Linked DNA regions of Mus musculus. The protein of the gene in region 3 interacts with the protein of the main gene of each other region in a biochemical or structural test. Links are inferred from orthologs where the notes say so. Each region holds a gene or a part of one and is shown on either strand. Other genes may lie near its edges.

What was found.
Region 1: of the proteins of Casp3 (region 3) and Gsn, one has a biochemical effect on the other in vitro, tested with the Homo sapiens proteins (2 studies listed by BioGRID). The link is inferred for Mus musculus from reciprocal best matches to the Homo sapiens genes CASP3 and GSN.
Region 2: of the proteins of Casp3 (region 3) and Ptges3, one has a biochemical effect on the other in vitro, tested with the Homo sapiens proteins (2 studies listed by BioGRID and IntAct). The link is inferred for Mus musculus from reciprocal best matches to the Homo sapiens genes CASP3 and PTGES3.

What each region holds. Positions count from the first base shown.
Region 1 is NC_000068.7:35,302,880-35,306,379, reverse strand, and holds part of Gsn (gelsolin isoform 1 precursor), read right to left. Parts: intron 3,213-3,500; coding exon 3,038-3,212; intron 2,117-3,037; coding exon 1,992-2,116; intron 1,800-1,991; coding exon 1,722-1,799; intron 1-1,721. UniProt on the Homo sapiens protein: Calcium-regulated, actin-modulating protein that binds to the plus (or barbed) ends of actin monomers or filaments, preventing monomer exchange (end-blocking or capping).
Region 2 is NC_000076.6:128,068,982-128,072,481, reverse strand, and holds part of Ptges3 (prostaglandin E synthase 3), read right to left. Parts: intron 3,267-3,500; coding exon 3,197-3,266; intron 2,349-3,196; coding exon 2,250-2,348; intron 415-2,249; coding exon 325-414; intron 1-324. UniProt on the Homo sapiens protein: Cytosolic prostaglandin synthase that catalyzes the oxidoreduction of prostaglandin endoperoxide H2 (PGH2) to prostaglandin E2 (PGE2).
Region 3 is NC_000074.6:46,634,291-46,637,244, reverse strand, and holds part of Casp3 (caspase-3), read right to left. Parts: coding exon 2,919-2,954; intron 1,869-2,918; coding exon 1,693-1,868; intron 1,044-1,692; coding exon 923-1,043; intron 1-922. UniProt on the Homo sapiens protein: Thiol protease that acts as a major effector caspase involved in the execution phase of apoptosis. Following cleavage and activation by initiator caspases (CASP8, CASP9 and/or CASP10), mediates execution of apoptosis by catalyzing cleavage of many proteins.

The DNA.
Region 1 (3,500 bases), on a different chromosome or scaffold from region 3:
ATCGACCTACAAATGTGTTTGTCATTAAGCTGTTGGCCTGTAATAGCACCGTCTGCAAATTTGGTTATCAATGATAGTCTAAGAGTCTGGCTTTCCAGCCTCTCCAGAAACACGAGAGAATCTAGAAGCTGAGCTATCACCTTCACTGGGATGAAGCTGAAAGGGAAGGTCCAGTTTACCTCAGGCTATACCTTTCCTCCTGTTTCCTCATCCCAGCCTGCACACCGGCAATCACTGCAATACAGCGGCAGCATTGGAACGCCCTCTCTGAGAGCTCACGAGTCACACCTTTAAAGTGTAGATTCACTCAACAGATGAGTGGACAGAGGTTCTTCATCACTCATCCAACAAATGCACTCGGGAAGGCTGCCCATCCTGGCATCTTGACTGACATGTGTCTAAAGCTTGCGATGAAAAGCCCAGGTCACTGTGAGCCTTAAGACACACACATAAAAAACCCTTGCTGATTTCTACACACCATCTATTGTTTATATCTTTTTGTGTATGTACATGTGTGTATTTGTGCCACAGTGCACACATGGAGGTCAGAAGACAACCTTGGGTGTGGGTCCTCGCCTCACACTTTGTTCGATGTGGGATCTTCTTGTTCATAGTGAGGCAGCCAGACAAGCTGGCCCGTGAGCTCCTGGGGAGTGTCCTGCCTCTGATATCCTCATTCCCCTCTTGCTCAGGAGCATGGTATCACAGACACACCCATCACTCTCGGCTTTTCCTTGGGTTCTGAAGACCTGAACTCTGATCCTCACACGTGTGTAGCAAGCACTTTATCCACTGGGCTATCTCCCCGCTCTGCCATCTATGTATTTATTTATTTATTTATTTGCTTCTTCCAAGAGAATTGCATTCAAGAGCAACTGCCATATATCAATGGCAATTAATTTTATCAAACGCCTTAAATGAGAAAATGCCAGGCTCGAGTCAGGACTGGTCTGGTGTCCCTTTGACTTGTCTCAGGAACCCAAGCACTTAGCATTTTGCCTGGAAGATAGTGAAGCTAAGAAACACTGGCCGAGGACTACCAAGGAGATGCATAAACAGGTAATGTCTCTAACCGCTTAGTCAATGATGACAGCCATATTGTTCAAACTGCAAACACAACTTCCCACTGAGCTTTCCCAAAGCTGCCCCACGGGAGAAAGACATGGGACTTTGTATTCAGACATTCTACAGCCTGGAGGATACTGGGAACAGGCACTTGATAGAAGAGTTACTGAGTTGACACTCCCACGGGAATAGATCCAGACCGGGCAGAGGTCAACTTGATGCAGTCCTTCACTCCCAGCGTCCCCAGTACAGAGCACTATGCAGATGCCCAACTGACACTGGATGAATGAATGAATGTTGTCATCCCTTCTGGGGCCCCCACAGCAGCTACCCTAGCAGATGGCACTAGAGGGATCAGAGCTGGGGAGTGACATTCTCAAGTCTCCAAATCACACTGGGCAGTAGAGCTATGTGACCTGGGTTTCTTTTCTAGGGTGCTGAGCAGATTTCAACAACCATGTATCTTGCCAGGCAGGTCCCACCACTTTCATGTTACAACTGTGGAAATGGCGTCTCAGGGAGAGGGTATGGCTTGTAGCCATTCCAGGAAACACCTGGTGTTGTCTCTTTTATGCCCTTCCCATGGTGACTCATCTTAGAACTAAGAGTCCAGCTTCTCCCTCTACCCAGGTCTTCTCCCTCTCTCCTTCACTCACCTGGTCCCAGGTGTCCAGGAGCATGACGTCATCAGTAGCCAGGTCTTCCTGCATAAGCTCGCCAGGAACCTCTTCGATCTGGGAAGGGTCAAAGGGGGTCAATGAAGAAACATCAGCCCTATTGGTTCCCAGAATGAGTTTAGAGAGGGATGGTCTGCCTGCAGAGACCCTTCCCTGGGCCATCAGACTTTCTCCAGGCTCTGAGGTTCACTGAGCCCTGGACCTGCCTCCTTCCCTAGGCACAAGCAGAGGTGGCACCTCCAGACTCACCACAAAGCGTCCGATCCTGTTGGAGCAGGCAAAGAGTCGAGGAGGATGGGCATCCATCTTCTTGTCCTTAAGCCTGGGGGATGTGCGGTAGGCAGTCTTCCCGCCCAGAGCCTCCCAGAAGGCATCTGTGAGGGGAGATCACCTTGGTTGCCAAGGGAAACCCTTGACCCATGAGCACATCTCACCAGACCCCAGACCAAACTGCCCAAAGCCAGCTGGCTGTTCTCCACTCTAAGATCCCAAGGGGCTCAAGATGGAAGAGAATGGAAAGAAAGGCCTGAGAGGGTAAGCAGGCAGAAAACAGTGCAGAGACGAGAGCACTACAGAACGGGGCTAATTATCTCTTCTCAGCACATGAGTCAGTAGATGCCCAGAGACAGGACAGCAATTTACCTAAAACAGCCTGGGAATGGAAAAACCAGGAGGCAAATCTGTTTTAAGTCCGATTTCCATGCTCTTTCTACAATACCTGCTGTCTACGTGTGTTCTGCATTTTTACAGAAATGTATCACCGTTAAAGATACAACTTCCTTGTGTCCACTCATTGGCTCCAGCTACAGTTCAAGTCCTCAAAAGCCACAGTGACCATCAGCCACCAAATTGGGGCTGGGAGGTACAGAACACTCATCCTCATAGATGTGTCTGCTGGATGGAGAGGCTGCATGCCCACACATGCGTGGACAGAGCATACACAGACCAAGCTGTCCTTCACTGCTTCTGTGAGATACCAGGAAAGGGGGAGGGTTCTGAGTATCAGCAGAAAAGAGGGCTGAGGGCTGAAGCAGGGTCTTCCTCTCTATAGATCTGAAGGTCCGGGGCCTCTTTGACTCTGTCACTCATCGCTCTTACAAGACTTCCTGGGAAATAGTCAACAGCCCCTGAGGCCCCCTCGAACCATCCACACCAAGTTCCCCCTTTCTTCAGGAGACAAGAGATTATCTATCACTGGCTATCACCCTCATTCCATCAATACACTCGAGGTGAAGGCACCAGAGAAGGATGTGGAGATGGAGCTCCAGGCAGTGGGAATTGGTGGGTCCCCGCACCTGGCTCACTGCCTTCTTCCACCTGCACATGCTGGGACCGAAGCACCTTCAGAAGCTCCTGGGCGCCGGTCTTCTCCGCCTCACTGGCTCCTGCGCCCACCCACAGGTAGGCAGCGGAGGGGGTTTTCAGCACAAAGGCATCGTTGGAGTTCAGAGCACCAGACTTAGGCATCACCTGGAGGTGGAGTGGGACAGGCAGCACTCAACTAATCAGGGGCCAGGAAAAAACAACCCTGCCCCTCCTTATAGCCAGGAGACTCTGCAGTAGGACAAACTTCTTCCCTTCAGAAATGGAGAGCACAAAGTTTGGAGACTGAGCGGGTCTGGCTAATTCCCATGTTTCTTGGATGCATGTGATGAGGGAGAAGTCTCCAGAATTTGGGGCTGCCTTAGCAAAAGTTGTATGTTCAAAACAAAGGAAGTGATAGAGTAATTCACAGCACCAAGACCATAGTGTCTGCTG
Region 2 (3,500 bases), on a different chromosome or scaffold from region 3:
GTCCTGACTACATGGGTTTCTGTCCAGAAAACCAAAAAGGGTGACCAAGGAGTGGTTGAGAGCACCTGTTACTCTTTCAGAAGGCTGGGGTTTGATTTCTAACAACCACATAGTGGCTCGGAACCCTCTGTAACTCCATTACCAGGGACCCTGACACCACCTTCAGACTCTGCCTTGGAACCATGTCCCAAGTGGTGCACAGACACATATATGCAGGCAAAAACTATCCATACACATTAAAATGGAAAAAGAAAAAAGGGATTAAAAGGATTATATAGAATATATTATGGGAACAGGGTAGAAAATGCAATTAAAAAAACTTACCTCAGAGAAACGGTCAAAATTCGACATGTCTTCATCTGAGTCATCCTCCCAGTCTTTCCAATTATTGAAGTCCACACTGAGCCAATTAAGCTAGAGATCAACAATATCACCTCCATGTTATTCATAACCAGTAATGAGACATAAAATCAGCTCAAAAAGAAAAATCCACAAGAAACCAAGAGGGGTAATAAGTCAAGGAATCATTTTTCTTCCCCCCGAGACAGGGTTTCTCTGTGTAGCCCTGGCTGTCCTGGAACTCACTTTGTAGACCAGGCTGGCCTGGAACTCAGAAATCTGCCTGCCTCTGCCTCCCTAGTGCTGGGATTAAAGGCCTGCGCCACCACAGACTGGCTCCAGGAATCATTTTTGACTGTCCAATTTAACCTTTCATACAAAAACATTTATTGGGAAGTATTGCATGATACCTGGAATTAATCCAATTTACAAAGGCTAACATTCAACTATTAATCCGTCTTTAGAGATGGATTATAGGTCATGCTGTTAGGTTGTTTCCAACCTACAGCTTTGTGCATATTAGGTATTCTGTCAACTGAGATACCCCAGTGCCACTGTTTACAGTCTACGCAGTACCTCACTATGAAGGTACTTGGCTGGCCTCAAATTCAAAGAAATATCCTGTTTCTAACATACTCTCCCCTTGTACCATCTTGTGATCAGAACTCAGGCCTTCAGGTTTGGCAGTTAATCACCTTCACCCTGCCAGCCTATCCTCAGTTCCTTGAATCTTGAATGTCACTAAACTTTGCTCCCCTACAGTAACCAAGTAACTTATCAGTATGCTGGCTAATTTGTCACCTCAACACTGGTTACAGTCCTCTGAGAGGAGGGAACCCAACTGAGAAAAATGCCATCGTAAGATCCAGATGTAAGGCATTTACTTAATTAGTGATTGAAGGGCCGAGCTCACTTGGGGTGGGGGTCATCCCTGTGCTGGCAGTCCTGGGTTCTATAAGAAACAGAGGCTGGACAAGCCATGAGAAGCAAGCAGCACCCTCCATGGACTAGCAGCTCCTGCCTCCAAGTTCTTGCTCTGCTATGATGGACTAAGAATATGAAGTATAAGCAATATAAATAAACTCTTTCCTCCCCAAATTGTTTCAAATGGTGTTTCGTCACATCAATAGTAACTAAGAAACCCAGGCAAGCTAGTCTTGATGTCACAACCTTTCTGCCTTAGCCTCAAGTGTGCCACCACACCTGATGCAAAAGTTTGTCTCTCCAATGCAAAAGATCCTAATCAACTACGGTCTGATTTTATGACATTTGATGAGAATGCCAAGTATAGAACACCAGCTTTTTTACAATTATAAAAATGTATTGCCGGGAGTGGTGGCACACGCCTTTAATCCCAGCACTCAGGAGGCAGAGGCAGGTGGATTTCTGAGTTTACAAAGTGAGTTCCAGGACAGCCAGGGCTATACAGTGAAACCCTGTCTAGAAAAGCCAAAAAAAAAAAAGTATTTTTAGGCTTAAAAAGATTCTGCCTACAGGCCAGAAGAGGGCACTAGATCTCATTATAGATGGTTGTGAGCCACCATGTGGTTGCTGAGAATTGAACACAGGACCTTCCAAAGAGCAGACAGTGAGTGCTCTTAACCTCTTAGCCAGCTCTTTGCCCTATTTTTATTTTATTTTTTTAAAGTACAGAATAGAGCTTATTCAGGACATAGGGAGGGGAGTTAAGAGAATAGCAGAAGCAGAGAAAAGCAGAGGAGAAAGTGGAGAAGTAGAGGCCAACCATGACCACTTGGAGAGGGGAGGGGGCAAGACGGAATGGGGAGAAAGGGAGAGCAAAGGGGCAAGAGGCAAGCGAAAGAAGCAGGAGTAAAAGACACCTATTTTTAATTCTTAAAACATTAAAACAATCAAACAGAAACCAAAACAAAACAAAAAACCCAACCTACCTTTGCCCTTTCCTTTGTTAACCTAGGCCATGACTGGCCGGATTCTCCTTTTCGCAAACAACATAAAATCGATCTGTCTGTTCTTTTATGCTTGGAATCCTACAACAAAAGCATCATATCACTCATCTCTCTGCTATGATAAAAACAGCCCTCCCACCATACTGCTAAGGGATAATATTTAGGACCTTGAAACATGCTAGGAAAGTTCTCTGTAACAGAGCTGGACCTTCATAATTTGGTTGTTACTGTGCAGCCCAGTCTTGAACCCAAGATCCTCCACAATTAGCCCCCTGAGTGTTTGAGGGATCCTCTACACAAAGTTTTGTCTCTTTCCTCTGAGGTGGTTTTCCTACATAGGCAAAGCTTTTCTGAGTTGCTACTACTTCCTAAACTTTCAGCTTATAGCCACAAGCCTGATTCATTTTTTAAAATTTCTTTCCAAACAAGCTTTTTGGCTACTCAAAATTTCTGATAGAAGATAGAAAGATTTCAAAGGTACTGTCATTTTGCCAGTGACAGAATAAAAAATATGTAGGAAGAGAGGTTGCTGAGTGTCTAAACTGTTAGGCTAAGCAGATTTAAGATTTAATGTTTATTATTGTGGTAGTTTAAATGAAAGTGGCCTCACAGGCTCATAGGGACTGGCATTGTTGAGAAGGGTGGCACTATTGGGGGGAGTGTGCCTCTTCAGGTGGGCTTTGATGTCTCTTCCTGCCTCTCCAGGTGTAGAACCCTTAGTTACTTCTCTGGCACAATTATCTGCCTACATGCCATCATGCTTCCCTCTGTGACAACAATGGACTGAATCCTTGAGCTGGAAACCAGCCCGTTTCCCTTTATAAAAACTGCCATGTCATGGTTTCCTCACAGCAACAAACCCTAAGATAACAGCAGCACGCCCAGCTTCTCATCATTTAAATCAGAAAAAAAGCATCAATGGTACTTACATTTGGATCGATACAATGAAAAAGATCAATTTCATTTAAATGCTTAAAATTATCGCTTCCTCCAAGACAACTAAAAAAAAAAAAAAAAGTGAGACAGAGAAAGAGATTAGAAAGCCAGTTACATACAGTAAGCTTTGGGTAACACAGATGTAGAAAGGTGGCTGGCTAGTTCATGTCAATTCTACACAATCCTAGAGACAGGAGCCTCAAAGGAGAAAATGCTTCTATAAGATCAGACTGTAAGAAGGCCTATACTATAGTACATTTCTTAGTGATTGATAGGAAAGGGCCCAGCCCATTGTGG
Region 3 (2,954 bases):
GATGAATAAAACAAATAGTATTCAAAAAGGCCCCCCCCCATAGGGTTTTTGTATTTATTTTCAGATTAACTACAGGATTCATTGTGTTTAGCTTAGAAGTACACTGCTTAGAAGATACCTAGTGGATAAAATAAACAAGATGAGTATATTTTATTTGTTTAATAGATCTATCTATCTATCTATCTATCTATCTATCTATCTATCTATCTATCTATCTCTCTATCTACTTATTGTGTGCATGTAGCTGTGCATGTGCCAGACAGTACACATGGAACTCAAAAGACAACTGTGAGAGCCAGGTTTTCTCAGACTACGATATGCACATAACCACATACAGGTTTACACCCACAAACAACTGAACACCGTGTGTGTGTGTGTGTGTGTGTGTGTGTGTGTGTGGTTGTTTATATGACAATGACCCCCATAGGCTCACATGTTTGAATACTTGGTCCCGAGTAAGTGGAACTTTTTGGGAAGGATTGGGAATCATGGCCTTGGTGAAAGTGGTGTGTCAGGTGGACTTTGAGGACTCAAAAGCCAGCATCATTTCCAGTTAGTTCTCTCTACCTTGTGCTGTGCTTGTAGATGGAGATGTAAGCCTACACCTGTCTACTGCATGGCCGCCCTCACCTCCACCCCCGTTTCCTGCCACAATGGTCCACAGACTCTCATCCTCTGTACTCACAGGCTCCATATTAAACATTTTCTTTTGTAAGTTGCCTTGGTCATGGCGTTCTGTCACGGCAATAGGAAAGTAACTAAGATGGCGGGTTAGTTATTTTAGGGATGTAAGGGTACTTTTGTAAAGGGTATATAAACATCTTACTAGCCTTTAGAATAGGCTTCACTGCTCAGCTTCATAATGTGTCACAATATAACTCATCTAATATCCACACAAAACATCCTTTTGACATTTTCTCACCAGGTGCTGTAGAGTAAGCATACAGGAAGTCAGCCTCCACCGGTATCTTCTGGCAAGCCATCTCCTCATCAGTCCCACTGTCTGTCTCAATGCCACAGTCCAGCTCCGTACCCCGGCAGGCCTGGGTGTCGGAAGACATACATACGCTTCTTATAAAAATACACACACACAGTTTACATCTGAAAACTCTAAGTGTGGTCTGAGAACTAGGAAGTTAAAAAAAAAAAAAAAAAAAGAGCAACACTGTACTGGCCGGTTTTGTGTGTCAACTTGATACAAGCTGGAGTTATCACAGAGAAAGGAATCTCCCTTGAGGAAATGCCTCCATGAGATCCAGCTGTAAGGCATTTTCTCAATTAGAGATCAAGTCGGGAGGACCCATTGTGGGTGGTGGCATCCCTGGGTTGGTAGTGCTGGGTTCTGGTTCTATAAGAAAGCAAGCTGAGCAAGCCAGGAGAAGCAAGCCAGTAAGCAGCATCCCTCCATGGCCTCTGCATCAGCTCCTGCTTCCTGCCCTGTGTGAGTTCCTGTTCTGACTCATTTGGTGATGAACAGCAATGTGGAAGTGTAAGCCAAATAAACCCTTTCTTCCCCGACTTGCTTCTTGGTCATGATGTTTGTGGAGGAATAGAAGCCCTGACTAAGACAAACACTGTGATGTACTCTAGATTCCCTAAATGGATGTTTAAACAAATAAAAATATAGCAGTTCTGTAGCCCATTTAACTAAGTTAACCAAACTGAGCACCGAGCTGCTGGGCAATGCCCTACCTGAATGATGAAGAGTTTCGGCTTTCCAGTCAGACTCCGGCAGTAGTCGCCTCTGAAGAAGCTAGTCAACTTTTTCAGTTCAACAGGCCCATTTGTCCCATAAATGACCCCTTCATCACCATGGCTTAGAATCACACACACAAAGCTGCTCCTTTTGCTATGATCTTCCTTAGAAACTGGAAAGACAGTCAGAAATAATATAAAACAGAGCAGAGATGGGAAGGCACATGGCAGCCTGGCACTGTATACAGTAAAGAGCCCAGGCTTATCTGATCTGTATCTAGCTTTCTCACTGGACGAAGACAGCTTTGACTTCATGGTCTTAGCTTCCTGAGTTCTGGGGTTACTGTTATACCATGACAAGATGAAGATGCTGAAAATTGAATTTCAAGAGCATCCAAGTCTAACACAGGCAGAGCACATTTGGAACCATTTTTAGGGAATGGCGTAATTTTCTTTTCTTTCTTTTTACTTTTTACTAAAAAATATAAGCAGCTGGGGGTGGTAGCGCATGCCTTTAGTCCCACCACACAGGGAGCAGAGGCAGGCAGATCTTTGTAAGCTGGAGGCTAGCCTGTCTAAATAGTGAGACTGTATCTTAAAATCAAAGCAAAACAAAAAACAAACAAAAAAACCAATCAGAATAATGTACAGTGTAGTTCTATAATTTTCATACTCGACTCTCTCTATCACTATAGTTAGACCATGAAGTAAAATTACCCAATGAAGATCATTCTAGAGAACTACATATATGCAATTTTGAGCATATTCACAAATATATATCCCCTATTCCACCCAACTTTATGCCCCTCTCCCCTTTATAAATAAAAATAACACAAGGTCCAATTTGTGCTGGCCATATACAGTCAAGAGTGGGCCCATCCACTGCAACACAGCCAACCAATCGGGGACCACACCCATAAATACAGTGGGCCCTCCTTCCTCCAGCAGCCATCAGTTGTCAATAGCTTCCTGGGCTCCCTTCTGTGTAAGGATGCGGACTGCTGGATCCTGCTAGCAGCGATGCTGCCTTGCTCCTACACCCTTTCTGCCTGTCTTCTGCGATGGTGCCTGAGCCTTGGGTTTGGGTGTGGGTTGGGATCCAGGTGCCCCATTCTGACTAAGCTCCGCAGACACTTAATCTCTGTTCTTTGACCAGCTGCGGGCTGCTGTCCACCGCCCACCGAAGCTTCCGAAGGACCTGCTTTGAATTGGTTCTATCTTACCACTATCCATTAATTCCAAAATGTCTTCACGAGTAA